4 linked regions of the Stegostoma tigrinum genome follow. The main gene of each other region encodes a partner of the protein of the gene in region 3 in a complex. Links are inferred from orthologs where the notes say so. Each region holds a gene or a part of one and is shown on either strand. Other genes may lie near its edges. The genes, in order: surfeit locus protein 1, ndufaf1, cytochrome c oxidase assembly factor 1 homolog and smim20.

Region 1 (7,790 bases), on a different chromosome or scaffold from region 3:
CCACACACACTGACTCTCACTGGGGTACAGTCCCACACACACTGACTCTCACTTGGGTACAGTCCCACACACACTGACTCTCACTGGGGTATAGTCCCACACACACTGACTCTCACTGGGGTACAGTCCCACACACACTGACTGTCACTTGGGTACAGTCCCACACACACTGACTCTCACTGGGGTACAGTCCCACACACACTGACCCTCACTGTGGTACAGTCCCACACACACTGACTGTCACTAGGGTACAGCCCCACACACACTGACTCTCACTGGGGTACAGTCCCACACACACTGACTCTGACTGGGGTACAGTCCCACACACACTGACCCTCACTGGGGTACAGTTCCCACACACTGACTCTCACTGGGATACAGTTCCATATGCACTCTCATGACTACTCTTCCTCTGTATTCTTGGTCGGGAGGTATTAGTTTTGAATGTGGTTATTCTGTTCATTCAAGGTATAGAGCTGGATGAACACAGCAGGGCAAGCACCATCAGAGGAGCAGGAAGGCTGACAGGTCTTCACAAGTGTCTAGGCCTGAAATGTCGGCTTTCCTGTTCAGCTGATGCTGCTTGGCCTGCTGTGTTCATCCAGCGCTACACCTTGTTAGCTCAGATTCTCCAGCATCTGCAGTTCCTGCTAACTCTGTTCATTCACACAGGTTTCTATGTACTGATATTTTTGTCAAGCTGTGGATTGTGGTGAGGTAATCACATCTGAAAGGCCTGAAGTGGCAATATTAACAAATCTGCAGCAGCTCAACTTTCAAATCCAACAACTTGGGGAGCAGCTGTCATTCCAGCTCAATGATTACGCTGTTAGACTGTGAGTGAAATGTAAACGGTGCCATTTTCTCATTGTAAACATTTTTCTCAATGCACACGAGATCAATAATTATCAACACAGGGCAGCATTACGGTGATGTGAAGAGGATTAATCTGACAAGAGGGTTAATATGGAGCAAGTGAAGAACATTCTTCACTTGCCTTTTTTGTCAAGCTGTGTTATTCCAGGCAGAGCTTTCCCCAACACACTGGTCTGAAGATGTTGCTCCAGTCTGATTGCTCCATGTCAGGGAGTCTTCCTTGTGATTTTAACTAAATAGTTCACTTGCATTCCTGAAGGCCAGGCATTCACTGACCCTGAAGGCATCAAACTAGTGTGCAAAAAAACAAATTATCTGCATTTATTTATTTTCAAAAGGTCAGCTGAAGTAAAATGGAGTTTTCTGAATGCTCTGTTCTGCTTTGTACACGTACCAGAGAGCCAAGGAAAACAGTGAATCCAAAATACCATGAACCCAAACTCTGAACCTCAAGCACCAAGAACTGAAACACAAATGTCATAAACTGTAAAAAGTGAAACCAAACAGTTTGTCCCCCACTGAACCCCAGCTCTGGAGAGATGGAGTAAGGCTACATTCCCTTCCACTCAGACAAACCAGGAACAAAGGACAAAACTCTGAAGAGGAGCATCTCCTCTGGTCACTTCCAGCAACAATAAGTGCAACTTAATAAAATAAATAACTGAGTGTGTATCTATCATTTGAAGGATCACTGAGAGGAAAGTTCATTAAATTTAAAATGTTTAAGAAGTTGTGTTGAATGTATGTTTCACATTCTAGCATAAACAGGGGCCAAGGAAACTGCTTTATCATGACAGGCACCTGAGTCCGGTGCTTCTGAAACTGTTCATTTTGTTTCATGTTCCATGCTTTTCTGTCTCTTGATTCTATCTGAGAACATTGCCAAATAAATGTGTTGCTTGAAAAGGTTGGGCACACTATTTTTGAATAACGCAACGCAAATAGATTGAAAATAATTTGTGACACACCAACTAACTGCCAACATATACCAATTTAATAACAATCATGTTTTGCTGTACGAGTCGTTGTCAGTGTTGGGTAGAAGGTTCAGGGAGAACTGGAAAAACAAATTAGAGAAACAAACAAAGAGTACTAGAAGAGACTGATAGTGAACAAAAAAATAAATGCAGAAGTTTTCTCTAGACACAAAAAGTAAAAGAGACTAAAAAGAGGATTTACACATGGAGACAATAGTCCTGGCTTGTGCTAAATGAACATGTAGCAGCACTGTGTTCCAGAAAAGAGGTTGTCCCAATCATAGTGAAGGACGAGATTGTTCAGACACTTGAAAGGTTTAAGATTGATAAGGAGATGGGATTGGACAGGCAGTCCGCACTTAAAGTTGTTCAGGTACCATAACTGGGTGAGGTGCTCTGAGGACACTGAGGTAAGTGAGAGAGGAAATTGCAGAAGCACTGGTCATAAATTGTCAATCTTCTTCAGAGTCAGGGATGGTGGAGAATTGTAAATGTTACACCATTAGTGCAGCAACTACAGGCTGGTCATTTTAACTTCACGGGTGGGAAAACTACGATTGTTCAGGACAGAATTGGGCAAATGTTGGGTCATTGAGGAAAGGCAACATAGAATTGTTAAGGGTGAATAGTGCTTATCTAACCTGACATTTTTTGATCAGATAACAGGGAATGGGTAATGAGGATAATGATGTTAATGTGTACATGGACTTCCAAACTTCATTTACACAGTGACTCCTGGACTTCAGGGGTTAAGTTACAAGGAGAGGTACACAATTTATATCTGTTTTCTCTAGAATTTGGAGGGCTAACGAATGATATAGTTGAAGTCTTCAAGATATTAACAGGAAAAGATAAACAGATAAAGTGATGGAACATGTCATCAACAGTGCTGTCAAGCAGCACCTGCTCAGTGATGCCCAATTTGGGTTCCACCAGGGATACTTAGCTCCAGACCTCATTACAACCTTGGTTGAAACACAGACAAAAGAGACCTGAAATGCAGAGGTGAGGTGAGAGTGACAGCCCTTGATATCAAGGCTGCATTCGACTGAGTGTGGCATCAAGGAGCCCTGGCAAAGCTGCAATCAGTGGGTATCGGGGGCAAATGCTCCAGTGGTTGGAATCATACCTGACATAGATGAAGATGGTCGTGATTATGAGAAGTCAATCAGCTCAGCTCCAGGACATCTCTGCAGGAGTTCCTCAGGGTAGTGTCCTAGGCCCAACCATCTTCAGCTGCTTCATCAATGAAATTCCCTCCATCATAAGGTCAGAAATGGGGATGTTCGCTGATGATTGCACAGCACCATTCGTGACTCCTCAGATACTGAAGCAGTCCGTGTCCACATGCAGCAAGATCTGGACAATACACAGGCTTGCGCTGATAAGTGGCAAGCTGTGACCATTACCAATAAGAGACAATCCAACCACTACCCCATTACATTCAAATGTGTCACCATCACTGAATCACCCAAGATTAACACGCTGGTTGTTATCATTGATCAGAAGCTCAACTAGAATCCACATCAATGCAGTGGTTGTAAAAGCAAGTTAGAGGCTAGAAATACTGCTTCAAGTAACTCACTTCCTGACTCCCCAAAGCCTGTCCACCATCTACAAGGCACAAGTCAGCAGTGTGTTGGAGTACTCCCCACTTGCCTGGATGAGTGCAGCCCCAACAACACTCAAAAAGCTTGCCACCATCCAGGTCAAAGCAGCAACTGATTGAATGGCACTGCATCCACAAGCATCCATTCCCCACACCACAGACACTCAGGAGCAGCAATCTGTACTATCAATAAGATGCACTGCAGAAATTCACCAAAGATCCTCAGACAGCATCTAAACCCAGGACTACTTCCATCTAGAAGGATAAGGGCAACAGATACATGAGAACACCAACACCTTCAAGTTACCCTCCAGGTCACTCACCATCCTGACTTGGAAATATATCGCCGTTCCTTCAGTGTTGCTGGGTCAAACTCCTCCAATTCCCTCCCTAAGGGCATTGTGGGTCAACCTACAGCAAATGGACTGCAGCAGTTCAAGAAGGCAGCTCACCCACATCTTTTCAAGGGCAACTACGGACAGGGCAATAAATGCTGGGCCCAGCCAGTGATGCCCACATCCCACAAAATGAATAAATAAAAGAACAATTTTTAAAAAAGACAAGCTGGGTAAAGATAAACTGTTTTCACTGTTTGCTGATTCTAGTGCCAGGTGCATAGGGTTGAGAATTAGGGCCACGCTGTTCAGGAGAGATTATCTCATATTCTCCAGTATTGGCAGTTCCTACTATCTCTGTTCAGGAGATATGCTAGGAAGCATTTCAATACACAAAGGGTGGTAGACTTTGGAAAATCTCTGTCTCAAATGTCAGTGGATGCTGGATCAGTTATTAATTTAAAATCTGAGATAAATTTTTGTTAAGCAAGCTATTAGGAGGATGGAAAAATAGAACATCCTTTATGGTCCAAAGGGCCAAACGCAGGTACCATGGAGTTAAGCCATAGATCAGCAATGATCTCATTGATTACTTTTCCACTGCTGGGATGAGGACATTGCTAACCAGACCAGCAGTTATTGAGGGTCACCCACTACTGTGGGTTCGCAGTCACATGTTGACCACACACGACACTGAAAGGCTAGCAGCTTCAGAGGGCCAGCAGGACACGGAAGGGGCGAATGGACTGCAGTGTGATACACAGACAAAGTGTAATTCAGGAGACACCATTGAGAAGCCACAGGCAGAGCAGGAACACACCACGTGGCAGCGAGGCCCCGCCCCTTTAGTGTGGCGCCGCGGTTGGGCTCAGCCGGAAGTGACGGCATAGTTCCGCTTCCGGGTGAACATGCTGCGGATTCTCCGGTGTTCGCCCCGGGTGAGAGACCCCGACACCGCCCCCCACCCACCCCCCTCGCCCTCCCCACACACCCCCCCCGTACTGGAACAGCACAGCTCGGGCAACAGCTTGTTCTGGAGTACAAATCATCAGTGTCATCGCCAGAATGTTGTCAGGGCCTATAGCCTTTGCAGTATCCAATGCCTCCAGCCACTAATCTAAAAGCCAGCCTTTCCCCAGTTTCTGGAATCGTGCATTTTGCTGAGGTTTGTTGTGTGATGAGATAGTTCTGTCTAAAGGTCTGGCTTTATTTGAATGGGCTGAATGGTCTTCTCCTGAGCAGATTCTACTAAACCGTGAAGTGACACTGAAAGAGAGATATTGGCTGTTGTATCAGTGAGGCCCATGAGAAGTATCAGGGGTCAAGCCTTATATAATGTTTGCTTTCTGTTTCACCTGCAGCTCTTGAATGCTTGTTCGGCAGAAGTTTTTCCTGGGACTGAACTGGTCTTACCCCATGTCAGAGCAAAACTTGCAGGTAGGCAGCTGTGGTTACAGCTTGGAAATCCTGACATTAATATTCCAACTTCAGCATTGTGCAAAAACACCAAGATAATTCACAGAAAAATCAATCAACAGAGTTTAACATTAGAGTCATAGAGATGTACAGCACAGAAACAGACCCTTCGGTCCAACTCGCCCCTACAGACCAGACATCCTAAATAAGTCTAGTCCCATTTTGCCAGCATTTGGTCAATATCCCCTAAACTCTCCCTATTCATGCACCCTTTTAAATGCTGTAACTGTACCAGCCTCCACCCCTTCCTCTGGCAGCTCACTCCATACACGCACCACCCTCTGTGTGGAAAAAGTTGCCCCTCAGGTCCCTTTTATATCTTTCCCCTCTCACCTTAAACCTATGCCCCTCTAGTATTAGACTCCCCCCACCCTGAGGAAAGACCTTGTCTATTTACCCTATCCATGTCCCTCATGATTTTAGAAAAAGGTCACCCCTCAAACTCCAATGCTCCTGGGAAAATAGCCCCCCGCCCATTCAGCCTCTCCCTGTCGCTCAAACCCTCCAACCCTGGCAACATCCATGAAGATCTTATCTTCACTCTTTCAAGTTTCACAACATCGTTCCTATAGCAGGGAGACTAGAATTGCACACAGTACTCCACGTCAGGGCAAGTAAGCAGGATTGATTTTTCAGAGCATTAATGAAGCAGAGAATGGCAGAGAGGTTTCAGGCGGGAATTCCAGAGCTTGGGGGCCAAGCAGCTGGGGCATGGCCACCAAGGGAACAGCAAAGGGAAACAGAGAGTGTTTGAGAGGCCAGGGTGGAGGCACACAGCTCACAGGGTCAGGGGTGACAGAGATGGGGGCGGGTGGAGGGGGTGACAGAGATGGGGGCGGGTGGAGGGGTGACAGAGATGGGAGGGGCTGGGGATCATGTGATGGTGATAGGGAGAGGTCTTGGCCTCTGATTCCTGTCGGGGTTAATTCTGTGTCTCTGCTGAAGGGGTTGCTAAGAGACGAAATGGGGTGAACATTTCCACGACCACAGTTGCCACGGGGACCGATGATTCATTCCTGAAGTGGACCCTGCTCCTGATTCCTGTCACTACCTTCAGCCTGGGCACCTGGCAGGTAACCACTGGGAGTGGTGGTACATGCAGGTCACGGGAGAGGGGAACAGTTGGGTGTGGGTTGGCGCAGGTTTGGGATGGATGGATGGATGGAGGGGTTTGGGATGGATTTAGAGGTTTGGGTGGAGGGATGGGATGAGGTGGAGGGATGGGGATGGGGTGGTGGGAGGCAATTAGGTGGATGGATGGGGTTGGAATAGAGGAATGGGGTTGGAATGGAGGAATGGGGTTGGGATGGATCGGGGGAGTTGGGTGGAGGGATGGGGATGGGATGGATGGAAGGGCTTGTGTGGAGGGATGGGGTCGGGATGGATGGAGGGGATTGGGTGGAGGGATGGGGTTGGGATGGATGGATGGAGGGGATGGGGTGGAGGGATGAGGATGGGGATGGGATGGGATGGAGGGATGGTGTTTGGGCGGAGGAATGGGGTTGGGATGGATGGGGGGGGTATTGGGCAGAGGGATGGGGTTGGGATGGAGGGGATTGGGTGGAGGGATGGGGATTGGGATGGGGTAGAGGGATGGGGATTAGGATGTTGGGGGGGGATTGGGTGGAGGGATAGGGTTGGGCTGGATCAAGGGGATGGGGTTGGTATTGTTGGGGGGGTTGTGTGGAGGGGTGGGGATTGGGCTGGATGGAGGGGATGGGGTGGAGGATTGGGGATTGGGCTGGATGGAGGGGATGGGGTGGAGGATTGGGGATTGGGCTGGATGGAGGGGATTGGGATGGATGGAGGGAATGGGCTGAAGGGATGGGGAATGGGCTGGGGTTGGGGAGATGGGGATTGGAATGGATGGAGAGGATGGGGATGGGGTGGAGGGATGGGGATGGTGATTGGGATGGATTGAGGGGATGGGGATGGGGTTGGGCTGGATGGAGGGGATGGGGATTGGGATTGGGAGGGATGGATGGAGGGGATGGGGATGGGGGTCTGAGGCCTATTGCTGCTCTTTCAGGCTCTCACTGTCTGCTCAGGTGCAGCGGCGGAAATGGAAGCTGCAGCTCATCAAGGACCTGCAAGCACGAACTCGCTCGGAGCCACTGCCCCTGCCCCTGGGGTAAGTCACACTCTGCTCCTGCCCCACCCCCGGGGTAAGTCTCACTGAACTCCTGCCCATGGGGTAAGTTACCCCGAGCCCCTGCCCCGGGATAAATCACCTTGAGCCCCTGCCCCTGTCCCCGGGATAAGTCACCCTGAGCCCCTGCCCCTGTCCCCGGGGTACGTAACAGTGGGCCCCTGCCCCCCCACCCCTGGGGTAGATCACACTGAGCCCTCCTCCAGGCTAAGTCGCATTGATCACCACCCCCCAAGGCCCCACAACCTCGGGGTGGAGGGGAGTCACACTGTCCTCCTTTGTGATGGTTTCTGTTCAGGTGGGGGTGGGTTGTTCACGGCTGTTTCACTGTCACATAGACTCTGAGCGTTGCCTGTCTATGTCCCAGG
Region 2 (7,668 bases), on a different chromosome or scaffold from region 3:
TACTGCCAATTCTTGGGGAAATTATGCTGAATGGCATTGCCTTGTGCTCACGCCAGCTGCGAAAGCCACGTAAACCTAGGGGAAGTTCTGCTGATCATTGACATGATTGTCAGACCAAAACGGGGTTTGTTTAAACACTGGCTCAATCAAGTTCTCCAACCTTGTCCAACCACAATGGATGCTGGTTGTCTTGGATTCGACCCCGACTAGACAGGAAAAACTTGGAGAACGGAATCTGGAAAAACACAAGAAACAGAGACGTTAGAAAAGTTTCCTTTGGGTGCACTGAGCGTATTGAGAGGCAGAGAGATCAACTTACTAAGGCTCCTGCACTTTCCAAACCTGTGACCTTTACCAACTACAAGGACCAGGGCAGCACATACATGAGAACGCCACCAACTACAGCTCCTCTCCAAGCTATACACCATCCTCACTTATAATTATATTGTCATTCCTATACTGTAACCGGGTCAAATTTCCAAGGACTGCAGTGGGTCAAGAAGGCAGCTCAGTCCCATCTTTGCAAGGGCAATTAAGAATGTGCAACAAGTTGTTGGCCTTGTTAGCAATGCTGACGAGCAACTGAAAATAATAAAGACTTGTGCAGAGAAAGCCAGCCCGTAGTTACAGCAAGTAATCAGGCAGTCTTTCCCCAATTGTACAGGGGCTAGTTACCATCATATCTAAAATTTAGTGTGCGGTTTGGGTCTCTATATTTAAGGAAGGATGTCCTTTATTGGAGTTGGTATAGAAATGGTTCACTACATTGGCACCTGGGTGAAAGGGCTGTACAATGATTAAAGACTAAGTTATGCTTATTCATTCTGGAGATCAGAAAAATGAGGGACGATCTCATTGAAACATGTAAGATTCTGAAAGGGTTTGATAGGGTCAATACTGAAAGATAAATTCCCTGGGAAGGGGAATCTGGAATGCAGGGAGCACAGGCTCAGGATAAGGGGCCAATTGTTTATGACTGAGACATGGCAGAATCTTTTCACGATTAGGTTTATGAAACGTTGGAATTTTCTGACTCCAGAAAGACACATCATTGCATTTATTTTCACTTATCTTTGTCCTGACAGATTACGGGGTGTGGATAGGAAAGTGCTGACCAGATTTCCTAAACTGAACTAGTCCCACTTGCCTGCGTTTGGTCCATGTCTCCCTAAACCTTCCCTGTTCACATACCTGTCCAAATAGCTTTTAAATGTTGTAACTGGGACTTCTTATACTGTAGTGTAGGAGGTTGAGGGGTGACCTACCACTTCCTCTGGCACTTCATTCCACATACATAACAGCCTGTGTTGGAGAAAGTTGCCCCTCAAGTCCCTTTTAAATCTTCCCCCTCCCAACTTGAAATATGTCCCCTGGTTTTGAACTCCCCCACCTTAAGGAAAAGATCTTTGCTAGTCACCTTTTCTATGACCCTCATGATTTTATTAAGGTCACCCCTCAACCTCCTACACTCCAGTGTAAGAAGTCCCAGCTTATCCAGCCTTTCCTTATAACTCAAGCCCTCCAGTTCTGGTAACATCCTTTTAAATCTTTCCTAAAAATCAGTTATAATCATAGGGAATGGTAAAACAGGCTCAAAAGGTCCCAACGGTCAATTCCTGCTCCAATTTCATTATGCTATGACTCTAATCCCCACCGAAGGGAGTAGAGGTCTCCCACAGAATCGTCCGGTATTGCCAGTCTAAATGAAGAGCTCAGGTCTTTGGAATGGGAGTGGTGCCTATTGAGGCTCCCCATTGTTCCACATCTAATACATGGAGGATTTTCCACTGGGATCCTGCAACCACAGGATAAAGCAAAACCTTCAGATAAATAGGGAGGAAAACCCATTCTACCTTCACATCCTGCCAATAGGGGCCTCCCCGGGTGAAGAGGAAATAGCTGTAAAGGTCATCCTTCTGATGGCTGAAGTACATCTCACTGCTGATGTTTACCATCCAGGGACGGCCATCCCCTCGGAGACGAATATGCAGCGTGTTGAAGTTTGTCAGGTCGTGGTACTTCTTGATGTCAAAGGCACCCTGTGGAAAGGGGCAGAAAGTCGATGTGATGGCAGTGACGGCACACTCACTGGGAACTCCACACGCACTGTGGGGAACTGTCCATGTGAGCTACATGGTTGTAGCGGGGGGGGTGGGGGTAAAGAGCTGAGAGGGTTCGAGCGTTAAGGGCAAGAGGGAAAGACAGAATGCTGAACAAGGAAAGAGGGCAGGTGAGTGAGGCACGGGTGGAGGAAAGTCCAGGATGGAGTGATGCGTGGGAAATGGAGAATTGAGGAGGGGCTCACCCTCTGTGAGGAGGGGCACGTGGAGGACAGGCGTGGAGGGAAGGAAATGTGTGGGGGGGGGGGGGGAAATGTGTGGGGGGGGGGGGGAAGTGTGTGTGTGTGTGTGTGTGTGTGTGTGGTGGGGGGGGACAAGAGAGTGTGTGGGGAGTGTGGGTGTGGTGGGAGAGGAGGAAAGAGTGTGGGGGGAGTGGGTGTGGGTGGGGTAACGGGCCCGGCACCTTGAGCTGGCGGCTCCTGAGGCTGCAGTAGCCGCTGTAGCGAGTCTCTCCGTCCCGGGGGGGCTCGGTGCGGAGCTCACCGCTCAGCAGCGCCGTCCTGCCGTTGGCCCCGACGCTGAGGCGGGCCCGGCTGCGGCCCCCGATCTCCCGGTCGCTGGAAACGAGCCAGTGGTCGAGGCTGCCGGCTCCCCGCGCCTGCCACAGGACGCGGTTCTGCTCGAGCAGTTCCTGGCGGAGGCCGCCGGGGCCCCGCAGCTTCTCCACCACCTCGGCCCACAACAGGCCCCAGTGCCGGCGCACGCCCTGCCGCCAGTCGCCGCGCCTCAGCCAGCTCCAGGGCGCGGACTGCGGGCTTGCCGGGGCCCCGGGACGCCGGTAACCGCGGACCCCGAACGGCGACGGGGACAGCAGCCCGCCGCCCGGCCGCGGCGGCGGCAACAACAACAACCTGAGGCGGCCCGCCATTTTGACCGCTTCCCAGGTAACGGGGGGGGGGGGAAAGGCCTCAAAAAAATCCCAGAAATTACCCGGAAAATACCGTAGTAAAAACACGCTCAACATAACCCCAACGATACATCTCTCTCCCCGCCGCCGCCAAATTATCCCAATAAAAAAAAACTCCAAAACGACCCCCAAATTGTTGCAGAAAATTTTCACTCGCACTCCCCCGGCAAATACCCCAGTAAAGTCCACAGAAACAGCCCGATGATCTCTCTTCCCACCCCACGCCCCAAATACGACAGTATACTCTTCCCCCACCACACACCTCCAAGATCACCACAGTAAAACTCCCAAATGCTCCCCAAATACTAGTATACACTCCCCTCAATTACCGTAGTAAAACTCTCAAATGCTCCCCCAAAATGCCAGTAAACCCCTCAAAATTACCACAGTAAAATTCCTAAATGCCCCTCTCCCAAAATAGCCCAGTAACCCCATCCCTCCATAATATTATACCCACCCAAATTATCACAGTAAAATTCCAAAATGCATCCCAAAAAAAATACCCGGTGTCCACCCCACCAAGAATGCTGGTAGACCTCCCCAAATTACCACAGAAAAACTCCCAAATGCTCCCCCAAAATATCCCAGTAATAGCCCAAATACCCCAGTATATCCCCAAAGTTACCCCTCAATCACTGTAAAATGCCCCCAAAATATTCGCCCCCATATATACTTCCCAAATGTATCCCAAAATTATCCCAGTGAGACTTCCAAATGTCCTCAAATAACTCAGTAAATGCTAAAGATACCCCTGTATAGTGAAGGGGGTTGAGTAGATTGGGCCTGTATTCATTGGAGTTTAATGGAATGAGTACATAACAAACGGGAGCGGGAATAGCCCATCTGGCCCGTTGAACCTGGTCCGCCATTCAATAAGATAACAGCTTGATATTGTCGTCAACTCAGATCTGCCTACTCACCATAACTGTTCCATCACTGTTGAAAATTTATTTTTGCCTTAAAACATTCAACGAGGTAGCCTCAACTACTTAAAATCCAAAAGACATCGTGGGCTGAAGGGCCTGTTCTGTGCTGTAATGTTCTATGTTCCAACTGCAGATGCTGTAAATCAGAATCAAAAACAAAGTTGCTAGAAAAGCTCAGCAAGTCTGGCAGCATCTGTGAAGTTCTGAGGCAGGGTCACCAGACCCTAAATGTGAACTCTTGATTTCTCCTTCACAGATGCTGCCAGACCTGCTGAGCTTTTCCAGCAACTTTGTTTTTGTTAGCCTCAACTACTTCACTGGGCAGGGAATTCCACAGATTCACAACCCTTTGGGTGAAGAAGTTACTCATCAATCTTAAATCTGCTTCCTGTACTTTGAGACTATGGAACTTTATCGAAACAGAAGATTCTGAAGAGACTTGGCAGGGTAGATGTGGAAAGCTTGTTTTGCCCTGAGAGTGTGTGTCTGGGAGTAGAGGGCATTGTCTCAATCTAAGGAGTTGCCCATTTAAAACAGATGAGGAATTTCTTTTCTCAGAGTAGCAAATCTGTGGAATTCTTTGCCACAGAGGGTTGTCAAGGCTGGGTTATTAAATATATTAAAAGCTGATAGAGACGGATTTATAATCAGTAAGGGAATTGAGGGTCATGGGAAAAGACAAGAAAGTGGAGTTCAGGATTATCAGATCAGCTACAAGGTTATTGAATGGCAGAGCAGACTCAATGGGCTGAATAGCAAACTTCTGTTCATACATATAATGGTTTTACAATTGATCTTGATCCCCACTAATCTCCTAAAAAGTCCTCCACATCCCCAGCAAAACCCTTCCCCTCAAAAAATCCTCCTCACCTCAATCCTTCAGTAATTCCTCCCAAGAATCCGACCAAACCTCAAATTCTAAGAAACCTATCATAAAACGGTCTTAAGCCCCAGACCTCAAGTGACCCCCTCCCTCAGAAATCCTCCTAATCCCCAACCTCCTAGTGTGGCCCTTTGAGCCTGCTGTACCATTCAATATGATCATGGCTAATTATTCAACTCAGTACCCTGTTCCTGCTTAGTTCCTGTACCCTTTCATCGCTAACATCTGAAAAATTCGGGAAAGAGAAATTACTCAGTGACTTGTCCACCACAGATTCGTTGCCCTTTGAGTGAAGACATTTTTCTTCATCTCAGTCTCAAACAGTCTGATTCATATCCTGAGACTAAGTCCCCTGGTCCTAGATTCCCCAACCAGGGAAAACATCCTTCCTGTATCTTGTCTGTTAGAATTCTCTACGTTTTAATCAGATCCCTCTCTAATCCTTCTGAACGAGTGAACATAGGCCCAGTCAGTCCAATCTCTCCTTAAAAAGGACAGTCCTGTCAGCCCCAGTATCAGCTGAGTGAACTGCTGCTGCACTCCATCTATGACAAGTATAGAAGAAATGAGACTCTGAAAGCTTGTGTCTTCAAATAAACTTGGACTATAACCTGGTGTTGTGATTTTTGACATTGTCCATCCCAGTCCAACACCAGCATCTCCACATCAAGTGTATCTTAGGCAGAGAGACCAAATCAGTGTGTAATACTTATTATGTTGACTTCCTGTCTCCTCAACCAATTGTCATCCATATTGTACAATGATTTCTGTATTCTGTGACCTCTCAAAGGTTAGGAAGTGAATATTCCAGGAACTTTAACATTTCAAAAATAACATGCTAAAGGGAAAAGCTGGGCACAGGTTGTCAAAATAGATGACACTAGGACAATTGTGAGGAAGGAGCTTGGCTCAGAAATGCAGTGAATAGACTCACCAGCATGTCGTGAACCAACAAGGGGCATATAGTACTGATGAGTGAAGATAATGGGACCCCCAACAGCTACAAAACAACTGGATACAGTATTAATCCAGGAATACTGTTCAGACAGACAGTCACAACACAGTAAAATTAAAATCTTCAAATACCCTCAAAATTGACTGCAATGTTTCTTAACCAGACTTCTGAATACCTAATACCACCTCTTCCTCCACTACATCGATGACTATGGGTGCTGCCTCGTGCTCCTACGAGGAGCTTAAACAGTTCAACTTTATTAACATCTTTCACCCCAACCTCAAATTTACCTGAAGCATCTCCGATACCTCCCTCTCCATCTCCTTCTCTGGTGACTGCCTCGAAACTGGCAGTTCATTCAAGCCTACTGACTCCCGTAGCTATCTGGACTACACCTCCACTTACCCACCCTCCATCAAGAATGCAATCCCTTACTCCCAGTTCCTCTGCCTCCACTACGTCTGCTTCCAAGATGGGGCGTTCCACTCATGCACATCCCAGATGTCTTCCTATTTCAAGGACCGTAACATTTCTCCCCCCAAACCCCCCCGGTGATCAAAAATGCTCTCAACCTCATCTCTTGCATTTCCTGCACGTCTACCCTCACATCCCATAACCTCAGTAAAAATAAAGACAGAATTCCCCCTTGTCCTCACATACCAACATCCCAACCTCTGCAATCCAGCGTATCATTCTCTGCCACCTACAATCTGACCCCCTAATCAAAGAGATATTTCTCTCCTCACCCCATCTGCCTTTCACAGAGACCACACGGTCCATGACTCCTTCATCCGTTCCACTCTCCTCACTAGCCCCACCATCCCCAGAACCTTTCCCTGCAACCACAGGAAGTGCTACACCCACCCCTACACGTCTCCCCTCACCTCCATTCAAGACCCAAAACAAACCTTGCATATCATACAGGGGTTCATCTGCACATCCTCTAACCGGATTTACTGCATTCCCTGCTCCTGATGTGGCCTCCTCTACATCAGGTGAGACCACATGTAGACTCGGAGACCGTTTTGTAGAGCGCCTGCGTTCCGTACGTGACAAATGACAATGCCTTCCGGTCACCAACCATTTTAACTCCCCGTCCCACTCCATGTCCATCCTGGGCCTCCTCTTGTGTCACTATGACACCACATGCAAACTGGTGGAATAATACTTCATATTCTGCCTTGGGAACCTACAGCCCCATGGCCTAAACATAGAATTCACCCGCTTTAAAATCTCTCTGCTGCCAGCCTCATCCCATGACCAAGCCTCCCCTCTCTTTCCTGCTTCCTCGACCAGACAGACCACAATCTGTCTAGCTTCGCTCCCACCCTATCCACACCATGCATCCCATTGACCAATCCCCACCACTTTCTACCTGCACTCACCTATCACCATCCCACCTACTTTCCTCAGCCCTACCTCTCCTCTCTATATTTATTTCCCAGCTACCTTCCCCCACCCCATCTCTGAAGAAGGGTCCTGACCGGAAACGTCAACATTAGTGTTCCTCTGATGCTGCCTGGCCAGCTGTTTTCCTGCAGCTCCACACTGTGTTGTCATGCTAACCGATTTTCTATCCATCTTAATACAACATCCCCTAATCCATGCACTCTAAATTTTACACGTTAATCTCCTATGTGGAAATTTATCAAAAGCCTTCTGTAAATCTAAATAAACCACATCTCTGGCTCCCCTGAATATTTCTACTAGTGATGTACATAAAAAATTCTAATAGATTTTTCTTTTATTTAGTTCTGTTCTCTCACAGACTAGGATGTTTCTGTTTGGCCAGCATTTATTGCCCATCCCTAGTTATAGAGTCATACAGCACAGAAACAGACCCTTCGGTCTCACCCCGTCCATGACGGCCATAATCC
Region 3 (7,807 bases):
GTTGTTCCTGGACAAATTCAACCAGCCTATCACCCCAGTCTATCCTTGGTCATAAGCAAAGTAATTGAAGGAGTTACCTACAGAGTCATCAAGCAGAAACAAAAACAAACGTTGCTAGGAAAACTCAGCAAGTCAGTAGCATCTGTCGAGAGAAAGCAGATTTAGTTCTGAATGGCTTTCTTTCCAAAGATACTACCAGACTTGCTGAGTTTTCCCAGCAATTTTTATTGTTGTTTCTGATTTTCATCATCTGCAGTTCTTTTGGTTTTTTGGAGCCAATCAGCACTGGCAAGAGAGATACCTGCTCACCGATGCCCAGCTTGGTTTCCAACAGCCGACTCACCTCCTGATCTCATTACAACATTGTCTGTAGTTGAACAAAAAACTGAGTTCCAGAGATGAGGAGAGAGTGGCCACCTTTGAATCAAGGCAGCATTTTATGGAACTTGGCTTCAAGGACCCCAAGCAAAGCAGGGGTCAATAGAAATCAGGGGAAAACCTTCTATTGGTTGAAGCCATACTTGGTACAAAGGAAGATGGTTATGGCTGCTAAAGGTCAATTATCTGGGTCCTGCACCATGTCTGCCTGGAGGTAATAGCCAACTATCATCTTCTACTTCAACAATATTCCCTCCACCATAAGATCAGAAGTAGGGATGTTTGCTGATAATTGAGCCACGTTCAGCACTATTCACTGCTCCTTGGATACTGAAGCAGCCAATGTTTGCGTGTAGTGGCAAGTAACATTCATGGCACACAATGACCAAGTCCAGTGAGAGGAAATGACCATTTTCATTTGATGTTTAATGGCACTATCCTCATTGAATTCCTACCAATTTCTAATTCCTGGGGTTACCATAGACCAGAAACTGAAGTGCACCATCCAGAGCCATATAGCATGGAAACAGACCCCTCGGTCCAACTTGTCCAAGCTGACCATACATCCCAATCTGACCTATTCCCATTTCCTAGCATTTGGCCTATATCTCTCTTAAACCCTTCCTATTCATATGCACATCCAGATACCTTTTAAATGTTGTAAATTGTCCCAGTCTTCACCACTTTCTCTAGTAGTACCTTACACACACCACCCTTTCAGTGGAAAAAGTTACCCCTCTCACCGTAAACCTGTGCCATCTAGTTTTGGACTCCCCCCTAGGAAAAAGACTGACTGTTCACCCTATCCATGGCCCTCACGATTTTATAAACCTCAACAAGATCACCCCTCAGCCCAAGAATCTCCCAGGAACATAAGAAGTCCCAGCCTATTCAGCCTCTCTCTATAGTTCACACTCTCCAGTTCTGACAATATCCTTTTAAGTCTTTTCTGCACCTTTTCAACTTTAACAACACCCTTCCTATCGCTGGGGAATCAGAATTGTACACAGTATTCCAAAAATGGACTCACCAATGTCCTGTAAAGCTGCAACATGATGTCCCAACTCCAATACTCAAGGTTCTGACCAATGAAGGCAAGCATGCAAATACATTCATCACCACCCTGTTTGTCTCATGCCCCACTTTCGAGAAACTATGCATCTGCAACTCTAGGCCCCATTGTTCAGCAACACACCCCAGGGCCCTACAATTAACTATACAAGTCCTGTCCTGGTTTGCCTTGCCAAAATGCAACACCTCACATTTATCTAAATCAAACTCCGAATGTCATTCCTTGGCCCATTCAATCATAGTTCTGCTGTACTCAGCATTCTTCACTATCCACTGCATCACCTATTTTAACATCATCAGCAAACTTATTAACCATACCTCATATCCACATCCAAACCATTTATACAAATGAGAAGCAGTAGGCCCAGCACCAATCCTTGAGGCACACTACTATATTCCCAACCATGCCCTAAATTCGTCTACCTTAACTCTGAGGTTTCTTGTTTGGAGACAAATGCAGTTTCGTTTGTCAATTTTACCCCGTTATCTTGTCTGCCTTGACTATTTGACTTGCTCCCCTTACCTGCTGTGCAAGCCTCAGCCTTTTCTTATGGGGGGAGGGGAGGGTTGAGTGGGAGAAGGGATACCGAAACTAAAGTAGTAACTACACAAAGAAACGATAGACATTACCGGGGACTTTAGCTGCTCCTTGCAACAGAACGACCAAAGGGAAAACGTGCAATTTGACAAAACTAAGCGTCCTAACGAATATTCAATTTAGAAAAAAGTTATGATGCTGGAAACATTCATAGGCAGCATGTACTGAAGATTAAACCGGAATTATCTGTTCCAGTATTGCAGTGAAGAGAGGGCGCGACGACCTTAAATTTAATCCTGTCTCTTTGCTACTAATGTTTCGTCTCGAGTCTGCAGCAACAATGAAAATGCTATCAGATTGCTCACATTTACTCACATTGAATAACCGCGACTTCCCAACATGGGCAGCGCCATCTTGCCAGGCTCAAGATAGCATCATTGACACTCTCGCGACATTGGTTAAAGCCCAAAAAGGTATCAAAATATGGCCTGAACGCTTTATTTAAAACAGGTTTTTTAAAAACTAAAACATGCGAATCAACGTCCGTAACAAACTCAAAGTGACATGTTAGAATTCATTTCATCCAATAAACCGATGCAGTCACTCCTCCTTGCCAGTGAACCTAGACTAATTTCTGAGGAAGTGTCACCGGACCCGAAACGTTGACTTTGATTTTTTTTTCCGCTCACAGATGCCGCCAGACCTGCTGAGCATTTCCAGCAGCTTTGGTTTTGTTTCAAAATAATTTCAATTAGGTAATGGGTGAGCCTCCCATCTTATTCGCCGCGTTATTTTCCCAGTCACAGGGCTGAACGTGCAGCTGGAAGATGGATGTACAAGGTTTTTTTTGTGGACAACGATAGAACAAGATATTGCCTGGTGCGACGAGTCTCAGTTTCGTTACCTTACTGTCGTTGCAAAGTTGAGAAATAATGACAACCGTGGCATGTGGGCTCTGATGTCACTGGAATACGGTCTATGGCATACATGGAGGAGGTCATGTGGTTCAGGACACGCCTGCGCATTGTCCCGGGGAATGAAACTATTTATGTAACAGTGTGTTCGAGCCACTCGGGAGGTCGGTGTGAGAATTCGCATTGGGTATGTTTATTGTGGTAAAGAGACAGGACTTTGTGGTATTCTTTTTAAAACGCAGGCGTTCAAGAGATGTGGGATTCTAGGTTAAGCCATCTCTATTAGCCCCTGAGAAACTGATGCTGAGCTGTTCTCTTGAACTGCTGTAATCTGTGTGAAGGTTAGTACACCCATAGTGCGGTGAGGAATGGAATTCCAGGACAGTGACCCGGTAATAGGGAATGAATGGTGATGTAGTTCCACGACAGTAGCTTGATAGGGAACTTGCAGGTGGTCTTCTGTGTTGCCTTTTTAGTGGTACAATCGACGAGGTGTTTCGGGCATTCTCGTCAATGGAATGTAGAAAATGTTGGTGCAGCGCAAGCTCCCAAAGACACGAGTGTTATGCTGACAAATTATATGTTTACCCATATTGATTGATGGGCAAAAATTGGTGGGACACCCAAGAACCAGTGATTCATTAAGGGAAAAGGATTTTTTCTGACATTTAATTTTTTTGAGGAAGTAATGTGATATACAATAAAGAAAATGCACAGAATCTTGTATATCTGGATTCGTAAAAAGGCGTTTGATAAAGTAAGTGTTGAAGTTTTGCTGATGGACGTTACACAGTGTTAAAGGAAGTACGGTGTAGTGATAGCTCCTTTTTGCCTCTGACCTAAAAGACCTAGGTTTAAGTCTCATTCCAAGATCTGATAACCAATGCTGGTGCATCCATAACATGGCCAAACTATCCTTTGACCAGAAACCAATCGCAAGTCATAAGAATGGGAATGATTCCTGGTAACCTATGTGAGAGAAAGGAAAATTGGACCACTAACACAACACTGCTCGTTGTGCTGGTACTCTGAGATGTATGTAAAAGTGCATGTTGATACAACAGTTTGGACTTGCTAGAAACAAAGGTAAAAGTGGAATCCATAATAGTTTGAAAAATAAAAATGGATAAATATTGGAAAGGATAAGGGAACAGGACTAAGTTGACAGGCCTTATGAACTGCTTGACCAAGGTGGGAATGTGGATGAAGTCACACATTATCTAAGCGAATGGCCTATTCCTGCCTTATGTTTTTTCATAGAGCTGAGAGAAGCACCAAAGGCTGAATACCTTCCCTCAGTGGTATAAAGTTCTATGAAATAAAGGAAGCTAAACTTGAATTATATGTTCCTGCCTGACTGGAAACAAGATTTTTTTTGATCTGTTGGATATCTGATGCAAAACATGGAGCATCTACAGTCTAATTGTTCTTTTTTTTTCTTGAAATGTATTAATCAGATATTACAGGTGTTTTGAGTTCCTACCCTGTATTAAAGTATGTTGATAGTACCTGTAATACTAAAATTAGTTTTAACTAGTGCTAAATTCATAATAAATTAACCTGTAATGTAATTTATTAAATTCCTCGAGTGCTTGGATAATACTTAATAATAACTAAAGGGAGGAACTGAGAGGGCTGACCTTTCTTATCAAGCTGCAATACATTGCAGTAAACCACTTGCACAGTGTATCTTGCTTCTCCACTTCCCTTCAGTATCTTTTCACTGTCCTGCACTAAACTTGATGCATCTGCAAGTACTAGATATAGACCTGAGTGCAACACTCGTGTGGCATTTGGGCATTTCAAAAACAGACAAGTTATTCCAGGAACCTGCAGTTAAATTGCTTATTCATGATGAGAAGCACACTGAGGGTGAAAATCCATGACCTTTGTGGTATGTTTCTACCATGAACTAAACAGGAAGACATTAAAAGGTTGGAAAGTTAAGCCCGGGCCCATGGAAAACTATACTTTTTAAATTATTCATTAATGATGTGTAAGCCTCACTGGTGAGGCCAGCATTTATTGCCAATCCCTAAGTGCATTTGAGAATGTGGTTAGCTATCATCTTAAACCACAATTTACATGGTTTAACTATGCCCACAGTCCTGCTAGGTAAGGAATTCTAAGGATTTTCTGACTGAGAGGTGAATATATATGGTGGCCGAGGTCCAAGTCAGGCTTGTATGTTGTCTGGAGGGTGGGGATTTTGTCGCGAGCACGTTTTGAATAATGGATCGCTGTATGAGAAGGTAGAGATCCAGATATTTCCCAATTTCACAATGGAGAATTAAACTAACTGGCAGAGGCCATTTTAGCTACTTGAATACCTTCACTGTTGCTGAGTCAAAATTCTGGAACTCCCTATAACAACAATGTTGGTGTGTCTTTATCGCACATGGACTGAAATAGCTCAAGAAGGCAGTTTACCGCCACCTTCTTGGACGACCTGAAAATGGAAATTTTTTGTTTATACTTGTGTGATGAAGCCATTGGTTGCCTGAAGAAAGGTGAGAGATGTAAGGAGGATGCTAACAGTGGCAGAGACACCGATTGCTCAATGTTCCAGCTTCTCAAGGACAGGTAGATATCGGCAATGCGTTGCTCCAAGTAAAATGCCACAGAGTTGTAGGGGGCAGTTTGAGTATGAGATGCGTTAACCTGTGACTCCACTTAAAGTTCCAACTGGCATTAGAATTAGGTAGGAAGTTTTAGTTCACTTCATAAGCAATGATCATATAAATCATTTCAGATTAATTTTTAATTTATTCTTAGTCAAGAAAGTGGTCAGGTCAAAAAGAAAATGTAAACTGCAGAAACACAGATGCTGACGCAGCAGACAGATACTTTCTGTGGAAAATGCAGTGTGGCTGAACCAGTATTAATCCTGAGGCCCTATTTGGAAGTGGAATGAGAGAATGATGCTGTGTCACACCGAGAAAGTTGCAGCAATGGAGTTTAGTCAAGGATGGCAATGAAGCACAGGTCTTAGACAGAGATAGGACATCAGTTGGGAAGGTAGGGAATGATGAGACCATGGGTAGCAGGTGCCTTGCACTTTTGGAATATGTTTTTTTTTAGAAAAAGATGTTTTTCCTAAATGGGAGAGATAATGGGAACTGCAGATGCTGGAGAATCCAAGATAATAAAATGTGAGGCTGGATGAACACAGCAGGCCAAGCAGCATCTCAAGAGCACAAAAGCTGATGTTTCGGGCCTAGACCCTTCATCAGAGAGGGGGATGGGGTGAGGGTTCTGGAATAAATAGGGAGAGAGGGGGAGGCGGGCTGAAGATGGAGAGAAAAGAAGATAGGTGGAGAGACTATAGGTGGGGAGGTAGGGAGGGAATAGGTCAGTCCAGGGAAGACGGACAGGTCAAGGAGGTGGGATGAGGTTAGTAGGTCGGAGAATGGGGGTGCGGCTTGGGGTGGAGGGAAGGGATGGGTGAGAGGAAGAACAGGTTAGGGAGGCAAAGATAGGTTGGACTGGTTTTGGGATGCAGTGGGTGGAGGGGAAGAGCTGGGCTGGTTGTGTGGTGCAGTGGGGGGAGGGGACGAACTGGGCTGGTTTAGGGATGCGGTGGGGGAAGGGGAGATTTTGAAGCTGGTGAAGTCCACATTGATACCATTAGGCTGCAGGGTTCCCAAGCGGAATATGAGTTGCTGTTCCTGCAACCTTCGGGTGGCATCATTGTGGCACTGCAGGAGGTCCTTGATGGACATGTCATCTAAAGAATGGGAGGGGGAGTGGAAATGGTTTGCGACTGGGAGGTGCAGTTGTTTGTTGCGAACCGAGCAGAGGTGTTCTGCAAAGCGGTCCCCAAGCCTCCGCTTGATTTTCCCAATGTAGAGGAAGCCACACCGGGTACAGTGGATGCAGTATAACGCATTGGCAGACGTGCAGGTGAACCTCTGCTTAATGTGGAATGTCATCTTGGGGCCTGGGATAGGGGTGAGGGAGGAGGTGTGGGGGCAAGTGTAGCATTTCCTGTGGTTGCAGGGGAAGGTGCCGGGTGTGGTGGGGTTGGAGGGCAGTGTGGAGCGAACAAGGGAGTCACGAAGAGAGTGGTCTCTCCGGAAAGCAGACAAGGGTGGGGATGGAAAAATGTCTTGGGTGGTGGGGTCGGATTGTAGATGGCGGAAGTGTCGGAGGATGATGCGTTGTATCCGGAGGTTGGTGGGGTGGTGTGAGAGAACGAGGGGTTTGTGGCGGGGGCGGGGTGTGAGGGATGTGTTGCGGGAAATACGGGAGACGCGGTCAAGGGCGTTCTCGATCACTGTGGGGGGAAAGCTGCGGTCCTTGAAGAACTTGGACATCTGGGATGTGCGGGAGTGGAATGTCTTATCGTGGGAGCAGATGCGGCGGAGGCGGAGGAATTGGGAATAGGGGATGGAATTTTTGCAGGAGGGTGGGTGGGAGGATGTGTATTCTAGGTAGCTGTGGGAGTCGGTGGGCTTGAAATGGACATCAGTTACAAGCTGGTTGCCTGAGATGGAGACTGAGCGATCCAGGAAGGTGAGGGATGTGCTGGAGATGGCCCAGGTGAACTGAAGGTTGGGGTGGAAGCTGTTGGTGAAGGGGAGAAAATGGACACCCCGCATGGCCCGTTTCTATCTCCTTCCCAAAATCCACAAACCTGCCAGCCCTGGTTGACCCATCGTCTCAGCCTGCTCCTGCCCCACCGAACTCATCTCCACCTATCTGGACTCCATTTTCTCCCCTTTGGTCCAGGAACTCCCTACCTACGTCCATGACACCACCCATGCGCTCCACCTCCTCCAGGACTTCCAATTCCCTGGCCCCCAACACCACCTCTTCACCATGGATGTCCAGTCCCTATACACCTGCATTCCGCATGCAGATGGCCTCAAGGCCCTCCGCTTCTTCCTGTCCCGCAGGCCCGACC
Region 4 (6,968 bases), on a different chromosome or scaffold from region 3:
AGCCACACTGAGCCCTGCTGAATCTTCACCATCTGCCCAGACCTCCCACTGACTGAGGACGAACGGTCAGTCCTAAGCAAGGGGCTCACCTTTGTCCCCCAACAACCACACATGAACGAATACCAGTCACGTTTGGACAAAGGCGGCGGAAAAACTGCTCTTCGCCTCCACGCTTACTTCTTCAACCAGCAGCCCAACCCTCCCGCCACTGACCCCTTCACCCACCTCCAACACAAGTCCTCCTCCTGGACACCACCCCCAGGCCTCCTACCCTCCCTCGACCTCTTCATCTCCAACTGCCGCCGAGACATTAGCCGCCTCAACCTCTCCACCCCTCTCACCCACTCCAACCTCTCCCCCGCAGAACGGGCAGCCCTCTGCTCCCTCCACTCCAACCCCAACCTCACCATCAAACCTGCAGACAAAGGTGGTGCAGTGGTAGTATGGCGCACTGACCTCTACATTGCCGAGACCAAACGCCACCTCTCCGACACCACCTCCTACCGCCCCCTTGATCATGAACCCACCCACCCCCCCCCACCACAGAGCACCAAACCATCATCTCCAACACCATTCATGACCTCATCATCTCAGGGGACCTCCCACCCACAGTCTCCAACCTTATTATTGCCCAACCCCGCACGGCCCGTTTCTACCTCCTTCCCAAAATCCACAAACCTGCCTGCCCTGGTCGACCCATTGTCTCAGCCTGTTTCTGCCCCACCGAACTCATCTCCACCTATCTGGACTCCATTTTCTCCCCTTTGGTCCCAGAACTCCCTACCTACGTCCGTGACACCACCCACGCCCTCCACCTCCTCCAGAACTTCCAATTCCCTGGCCCCCAACACCTCATTTTCACCATGGTCGTCCAGTCCCTATACACCTGTATTCCGCATGCAGATGGCCTCAAGGCCCAACCAGTCCCCCTCCACTTACACCCTCATCCGCCTAGCCGAACTCGTCCTCACCCTCAACAACTTCTCTTTTGTTTCCTCCCACTTACTACAGACAAAGGGGGTGGCCATGGGCACCCGCATGGGCCCCAGCTATGCCTGCCTCTTTGTAGGTTACGTGGAACATTCCCTCTTCCACACCTACACAGGCCCCAAACCCCACCTCTTCCTCCGTTACATTGACGACTGCATCGGCGCTGCCTGTTGCTCCCCAAAGGGGCTCGAACAGTTCATCCACTTCACCAACACCTTCCACCCCAAACTCAAGTTCACCTGGGCCATCTCCAACACATCCCTCACCTTCCTGGATCTCTCAGTCTCCATCTCAGGCAACCAGCTTGTAACCGATGTCCATTTCAAGCCTACTGACTCCCACAGCTACCGAGAATACACCTCCTCCCACCCACCCTCCTGCAAAAATTCCATCCCCGATTCCCAATTCTTCTGCCTCCGCCGCATCTGCTTCCAGGATGAGGCATTCCACTCCCACACATCCCAGATGTCCAAGTTCTTCAAGGACCGCAACTTTCCACCCACAGTGGTCGAGAACACCCTTGACCACGTCTCCCGCAACACATCCCTCACACCCCACCCCCGCCACAACCGCCCAAGAGGATCCCCCTTGTTCTCACACACCACCCCACCAACCTCTGGATACAACGCATCATCCTCCGACACTTCCGCCATCTACAATCTGACCCCACCACCCAAGACATTTTTCCATTCCCACCCTCGTCTGCCTTCCGGAGAGACCAATCACTTCATGACTCCCTTGTTTGCTCCACACTGCCCTCCAACCCCACCACACCCAGCACCTTCAGTTGCAACCACAGGAAGTGCTACACCTGCCCCGACACCTCCTCCCTCACCCCCATTCAAGGCCCCAAGATAACTTCCCATATTAAGCAAAGGTTCACCTGCACATCTGCCAATGTGGTATACTGTATCCATTATACCCGGTGTGGCTTCCTCTACATTGGGGAAACCAAGCGAAGGCTTGGGGACCACTTTGCAGAACACCTCCGCTCGGTTCGCAATAAACAACTGCACCTCCCAGTCACGAATCATTTTAACTCCCCCTCCCATTCCTTAGATGGCACGTCCATCATGGGCCTCCTGCAGTGCCACAATGATGCCACCCGAAGGTTGCAGGAACAGCAACTCATATTCCGCTTGGGAACCCTGCAGCCTAATGGTACCAATGTGGACTTCACCAGCTTCAAAATCTCCCCTTCGCCAACCGCATCCCAAAACCAGCCCAATTCTTCCCCTCCCCCCACTGCACCACACAACCAGCCCAGCTCTTCCCCCCACCCACTGCATCCCAAAACCAGCCCAGCCTGTCTCTGCTTCCCTAACCTGTTCTTCCTCTCACCCATCCCTTCCTCCCACCCCAAGCCGCACCTCCACTTCCTACCTACTAACCTTATCCCACCTCCTTGACCTATCTTCTCCCTACCTATACTCTCCTCTCCACCTATCTTCTTTTCTCTCCATCTTCGGTCCGCCTCCCCCTCTCTCCCTATTTATTCCAGCTCCCTCTCCCCATCCCCCTCTCTGATGAAGGGTCTAGGCCCGAAACGTCAGCTTTTGTGCTCCTGAGATGCTGCTTGGCCTGCTGTGTTCATCCAGCCTCACATTTTATTATCTTCAGTGACCTGGCTTCGTGGTCGAGAATTCCACAGATTCATCACCCTGATCAAAGGCAACTCTCCCCTTTCAGCCACACGTCCTAAGGCCGTGACCCTCACTCTGATGAAACATCATCAAATCCACAGGGGGTGAGGGGAGGGGGACACAGCAGGAAAGGGTGGGAGTTAGAGCCGGTAACTAGCCGTATCCGCACCGACCATCCACCTCCGCCGCAGATTGTTTCTCTCACTCACTGTACTGCTCGGTGTAAATCAGCGGCCGAAAGTAGATGGGGTAAAAGGCGGCTCCCAGCAGAGCGGCGAAGCCACCGAACAACAAAACCACCCGCGCATGCCCAGCCATGGCGCACGCTGACGGATCGGAACGGACGACTCTCCCACCCCGACAATTGCTTCCTATATCCGTCCCGGTACGCGCGTGCGCGAAGTATCATGTGACCGGGTGCGCGGCCGCCACCTTTGAGACGGGCAATTCCCACCGAATGGCATCTTAGCGCACTCTGCTCCACTGCGCACGCGCTGAGCCCAGTCTGCTTCCTTTCTGATTGTTGCTATCTCTTATTCAAATAGTTTGCCAATTTCTCATCCGGTGGCTTCATGTCATGAAGCATTTCTTGCTGTGGATACTTCATACGTTCAGTTCTCAGTCACCGAAAACAACAATGCCTGGCTCCTCCTCCTGAGGAATTATAATTAGATTTTACTGTCAACTGTTCTGAAGTACAGGGATGCAGGAGTACAGTGAAAAGTGTACAAAGTCACTATTCCCAGCATCACAGATAATGGGAACTGCAGAATCTGGAGAAACTGTGATAACAAAGTGTCGAGCTGAATGAACACAGCAGGCCAAGCATCATCTTAGGCACAAAGGCACTCGGTACAACATAATAAAATGTGAGGCTGGATGAACACAGCAGGCCCAGCAGCATCTCAGGAGCACAAAAGCTGACGTTTCGGGCCTAGACCCTTCATCAGAGAGGGGGATGGGGTGAGGGTTCTGGAATAAATAGGGAGAGAGGGGGAGGCGGACCGAAGATGGAGAGAAAAGATAGGTGGAGAGGAGAGTGTAGGTGGGGTAGGTAGGGAGGGGATAGGTCAGTCCAGGGAAGACGGACAGGTCAAGGAGGTGAGATGAGGTGAGTAGGTAGGAGATGGAGGAGCGGCTTGGGGTGGGAGGAAGGGATGGGTGAGAGGAAGAACAGGTTAGGGAGGCAGAGACAGGTTGGACTGGTTTTGGGATGCAGTGGGTGGAGGGGAAGAGCTGGGCTGGTTGTGTGGTGCAGTGGGGGGAGGGGATGAACTGGGCTGGTTTTGGGATGCGGTGGGGGAAGGGGAGATTTTGAAACTGGTGAAGTCCACATTGATACCATTGGGCTGCAGGGTTCCCAAGCGGAATATGAGTTGCTGTTCCTGCAACCTTCGGGTGGCATCATTGTGGCACTGCAGGAAACCCATGATGGACATGTCATCTAAAGAATGGAAGGGGGAGTGGAAATGGTTTGCGACTGGGAGGTGCAGTTGTTTATTGCGCGGTCCCCAAGCCTCCGCTTGGTTTCCCCAATGTAGAGGAAGCCACACCGGGTACAGTGGATGCAGTACACCACATTGGCAGATGTGCAGGTGAACCTCTACTTAATGTGGAAAGTCATCTTGGGGCCTGGGATAGGGGTGAGGGAGGAGATGTGGGGCAAGTGTAGCATTTCCTGCGGTTGCAGGGGAAGGTGCCGGGTGTGGTGGGGTTGGAGGGCAGTATGGAGCGAACAAGGGAGTCACGGAGAGAGTGGTCTCTCCGGAAAGCAGACAGGGGTGGGGATGGAAAAATGTCTTGGGTGGTGGGGTCAGATTGTAGATGCCGGAAGTGTCGGAGGATGATGCGTTGTATCCGGAGGTTGGTGGGGTGGTGTGTTAGAACGAGGGGGATCCTCTTTGGGCGGTTGTGGCGGGGGCGGGGTGTGAGGGATGTGTTGCGGGAAATGCGGGAGACGTGGTGAAGGGCGTTCTTGACCACTGTGGGGGGAAAGTTGCGGTCCTTGAAGAACTTGGATATCTGCGATGTGCGGGAGTGGAATGCCTCATCATGGGAGCAGATGCGGCGGAGGCGGAGGAATTGGGAATAGGGGATGGAATTTTTGCAGGAGGGTGGGTGGGAGGAGGTGTATTCTAGGTAGCTGTGGGAGTCGGTAGGCTTGAAATGGACATCAGTTACAAGCTGGTTGCCTGAGATGGAGACTGAGAGATCCAGGAAGGTGACGGATGTGCTGGGGATGGCCCAGGTGAACTGAAGGTTGGGGTGGAAGGTGTTGGTGAAGTGAATGAACTGTTCGAGCTCCTCTGGGGAGCAAGAGGCGGCGCCGATACAGTCATCAATGTAACGGAGGAAGACGTGGGGTTTGGGGCCTGTGTAGGTGTGGAAGAGGGACTGTTCCACGTAACAACAAAGAGGCACGTATAGCTGGGGCCCATGCGGGTGCCCATGGCCACCCCCTTAGTCTGTAGGAAGTGGGAGGAATCGAAAGAGAAGTTGTTGAGGGTGAGGACGAGTTCGGCTAGGCGGATGAGGGTGTCGGTGGAAGGGGACTGGTCGGGCCTGCGGGACAGGAAGAAGCGGAGGGCCTTGAGGCCATCTGCATGCGGAATGCAGGTGTATAGGGACTGGACGACCATGGTGAAAATGAGATGTTGGGGGCCAGGAAATTGGAAGTCCTGGAGGAGGAGGAGGGCATGGGTAGTGTCACGGACGTAGGTAGGGAGTTCTGGGACCAGAGGGGAGAAAATGGAGTCCAGATAGGTGGAGATGAGTTCGGTGGGGCAGGAGCAGGCTGAGACGATGGGTCGACCAGGGCAGGCAGGTTTGTGGATTTTGGGAAGGAGATAGAAACGGCCCGTGCAGGGTTGGGGAACAATGAGGTTGGAGGCTGTGGGTGGGAGGTCCTCTGAGATGATGAGGTCATGAATGGTGTTGGAGATGATGGTTTGGTGCTCGGGTGTGGGGTCATGATCGAGGGGGCGGTAGGAGGTGGTGTCGGAGAGTTGGCGTCTGGCCTCGGCGATGTAGAGGTCAGTGCGCCATACTACCACTGCGCCACCCTTGTCTGCGGGTTTGATGGTGAGGTTGGGGTTGGAGCGGAGGGCTGCCCGTTCTGGGTGGGACAGGTTGGAGTGGGTGAGAGGGGTGGAGAGGTTGAGGCGGTTAATGTCTCGACGGCAGTTAGAGATGAAGAGGTCAAGGGAGGGTAGGAGGCCTGGGGGTGGTTCAAAATCTCCCCTTCCCCCACCGCATCCCAAAACCAGCCCAGTTCGTCCCCTCCCCCCGCTGCACCACACAACCAGCCCAGCTCTTCCCCTCCACCCACTGCATCCCAAAACCAGTCCAACCTGCCTCTGCCTTCCTCACCTGTTCTTCCTCTCACCCATCCCTTCCTCCCACCCCAAGCCGCACCTCCATCTCCTACCTACTAACCTCATCCCACCTCCTTGACCTGTCTGTCTTCCCTGGACTGACCTATCCCCTCCCTACCTCCCCACCTACACTCTCCTCTCCACCTATCTTTTCTCTCCATCTTCGGTCCGCCTCCCCCTCTCTCCCTATTTATTCCAGAACCCTCACCCCATCCCCCTCTCTGATGAAGGGTCTAGGCCCGAAACATCAGCTTTTGTGCTCCTGAGATGCTGCTGGGTCTGCTGTGTTCATCCAGCCTCACATTTTATTATCTTGGATTCTCCAGCATCTGCAGTTCCCATTATTACTCGGTACAACATCTTAGGTTTTCCTCATTTTCCGCTTGGGGACCCTGCAGACCTCAGGACTCAATATCGAGTTCAATAATTTTAGGGCCTAAACTCTCCCACCTCCTCATCCTCTTCCTCTACCCCACACACCAAGTCTTGTTATCACATAGCTTTCCATTACACACTACCTATTGTTGGTTACTAACTGTCCCCATTAGCAGCTATTCACCCTCCCAGCCAGATCATCATCAACTTCTTCGTCTATCCAACAGCTCTTCTCTCTCTTTGGGCTCTATCCCTACTTATAGTTTACTGCCCCTCCCCCTCCCTATATTCTGCATTTAATCGTTTCCTAGCTACCATCAGCTCTAAGGAAGGGTCACTGCACCCAAAACATTAACTCTAATTTTTTTCTCCACAGATGCTGAGTTTTTCCAGCAACTTCTGTTTTTGTTCCTGATTTACAGCTTCCACAGTTCTTTTGGTTTTTACTCAATATGATTGAATTTGTTATAGTAGATGGGAGAGACTAGGACCCATGGGCACAGCCTTAGAATTAGAGGGGGTAAATTTAAAACGGAAATGAGGAGACATTTCTTCAGCCAAGAGTGGTGGGCCGGTGGAATTCAGT

Evidence for each region.
Region 1: cytochrome c oxidase assembly factor 1 homolog (region 3) and surfeit locus protein 1 share a complex: the UniProt entries of both Homo sapiens proteins name them as parts of the MITRAC (mitochondrial translation regulation assembly intermediate of cytochrome c oxidase complex) complex. The link is inferred for Stegostoma tigrinum from reciprocal best matches to the Homo sapiens genes COA1 and SURF1.
Region 2: cytochrome c oxidase assembly factor 1 homolog (region 3) and ndufaf1 share a complex: the UniProt entries of both Homo sapiens proteins name them as parts of the mitochondrial complex. The link is inferred for Stegostoma tigrinum from reciprocal best matches to the Homo sapiens genes COA1 and NDUFAF1.
Region 4: cytochrome c oxidase assembly factor 1 homolog (region 3) and smim20 share a complex: the UniProt entries of both Homo sapiens proteins name them as parts of the MITRAC (mitochondrial translation regulation assembly intermediate of cytochrome c oxidase complex) complex. The link is inferred for Stegostoma tigrinum from reciprocal best matches to the Homo sapiens genes COA1 and SMIM20.

The regions. Positions count from the first base shown.
Region 1 is NC_081382.1:44,016,202-44,023,991, reverse strand, and holds the start of surfeit locus protein 1, read left to right. Parts: upstream 1-4,779; 5' UTR 4,780-4,896; coding exon 4,897-4,962; intron 4,963-5,158; coding exon 5,159-5,234; intron 5,235-6,218; coding exon 6,219-6,346; intron 6,347-7,321; coding exon 7,322-7,404; intron 7,405-7,789; coding exon 7,790-7,790. UniProt on the Homo sapiens protein: Component of the MITRAC (mitochondrial translation regulation assembly intermediate of cytochrome c oxidase complex) complex, that regulates cytochrome c oxidase assembly.
Region 2 is NC_081363.1:84,965,850-84,973,517, forward strand, and holds the start of ndufaf1 (complex I intermediate-associated protein 30, mitochondrial), read right to left. Parts: upstream 3,015-7,668; 5' UTR 2,989-3,014; coding exon 2,524-2,988; intron 2,231-2,523; coding exon of another isoform or gene 2,207-2,230; exon of another isoform or gene 2,180-2,206; intron 2,040-2,179; coding exon 1,854-2,039; intron 236-1,853; coding exon 161-235; intron 1-160. UniProt on the Homo sapiens protein: As part of the MCIA complex, involved in the assembly of the mitochondrial complex I.
Region 3 is NC_081355.1:101,831,537-101,839,343, reverse strand, and holds the start of cytochrome c oxidase assembly factor 1 homolog, read right to left. Parts: upstream 2,966-7,807; 5' UTR 2,892-2,965; intron 2,867-2,891; coding exon of another isoform or gene 2,819-2,866; exon of another isoform or gene 2,804-2,818; intron 2,467-2,803; exon of another isoform or gene 2,363-2,466; intron 1-2,362. Other genes in the region: blvra (biliverdin reductase A), read left to right, coding at 2,966-3,088. UniProt on the Homo sapiens protein: Component of the MITRAC (mitochondrial translation regulation assembly intermediate of cytochrome c oxidase complex) complex, that regulates cytochrome c oxidase assembly.
Region 4 is NC_081354.1:89,191,672-89,198,639, reverse strand, and holds the start of smim20 (small integral membrane protein 20), read right to left. Parts: upstream 3,017-6,968; 5' UTR 2,952-3,016; coding exon 2,843-2,951; intron 1-2,842.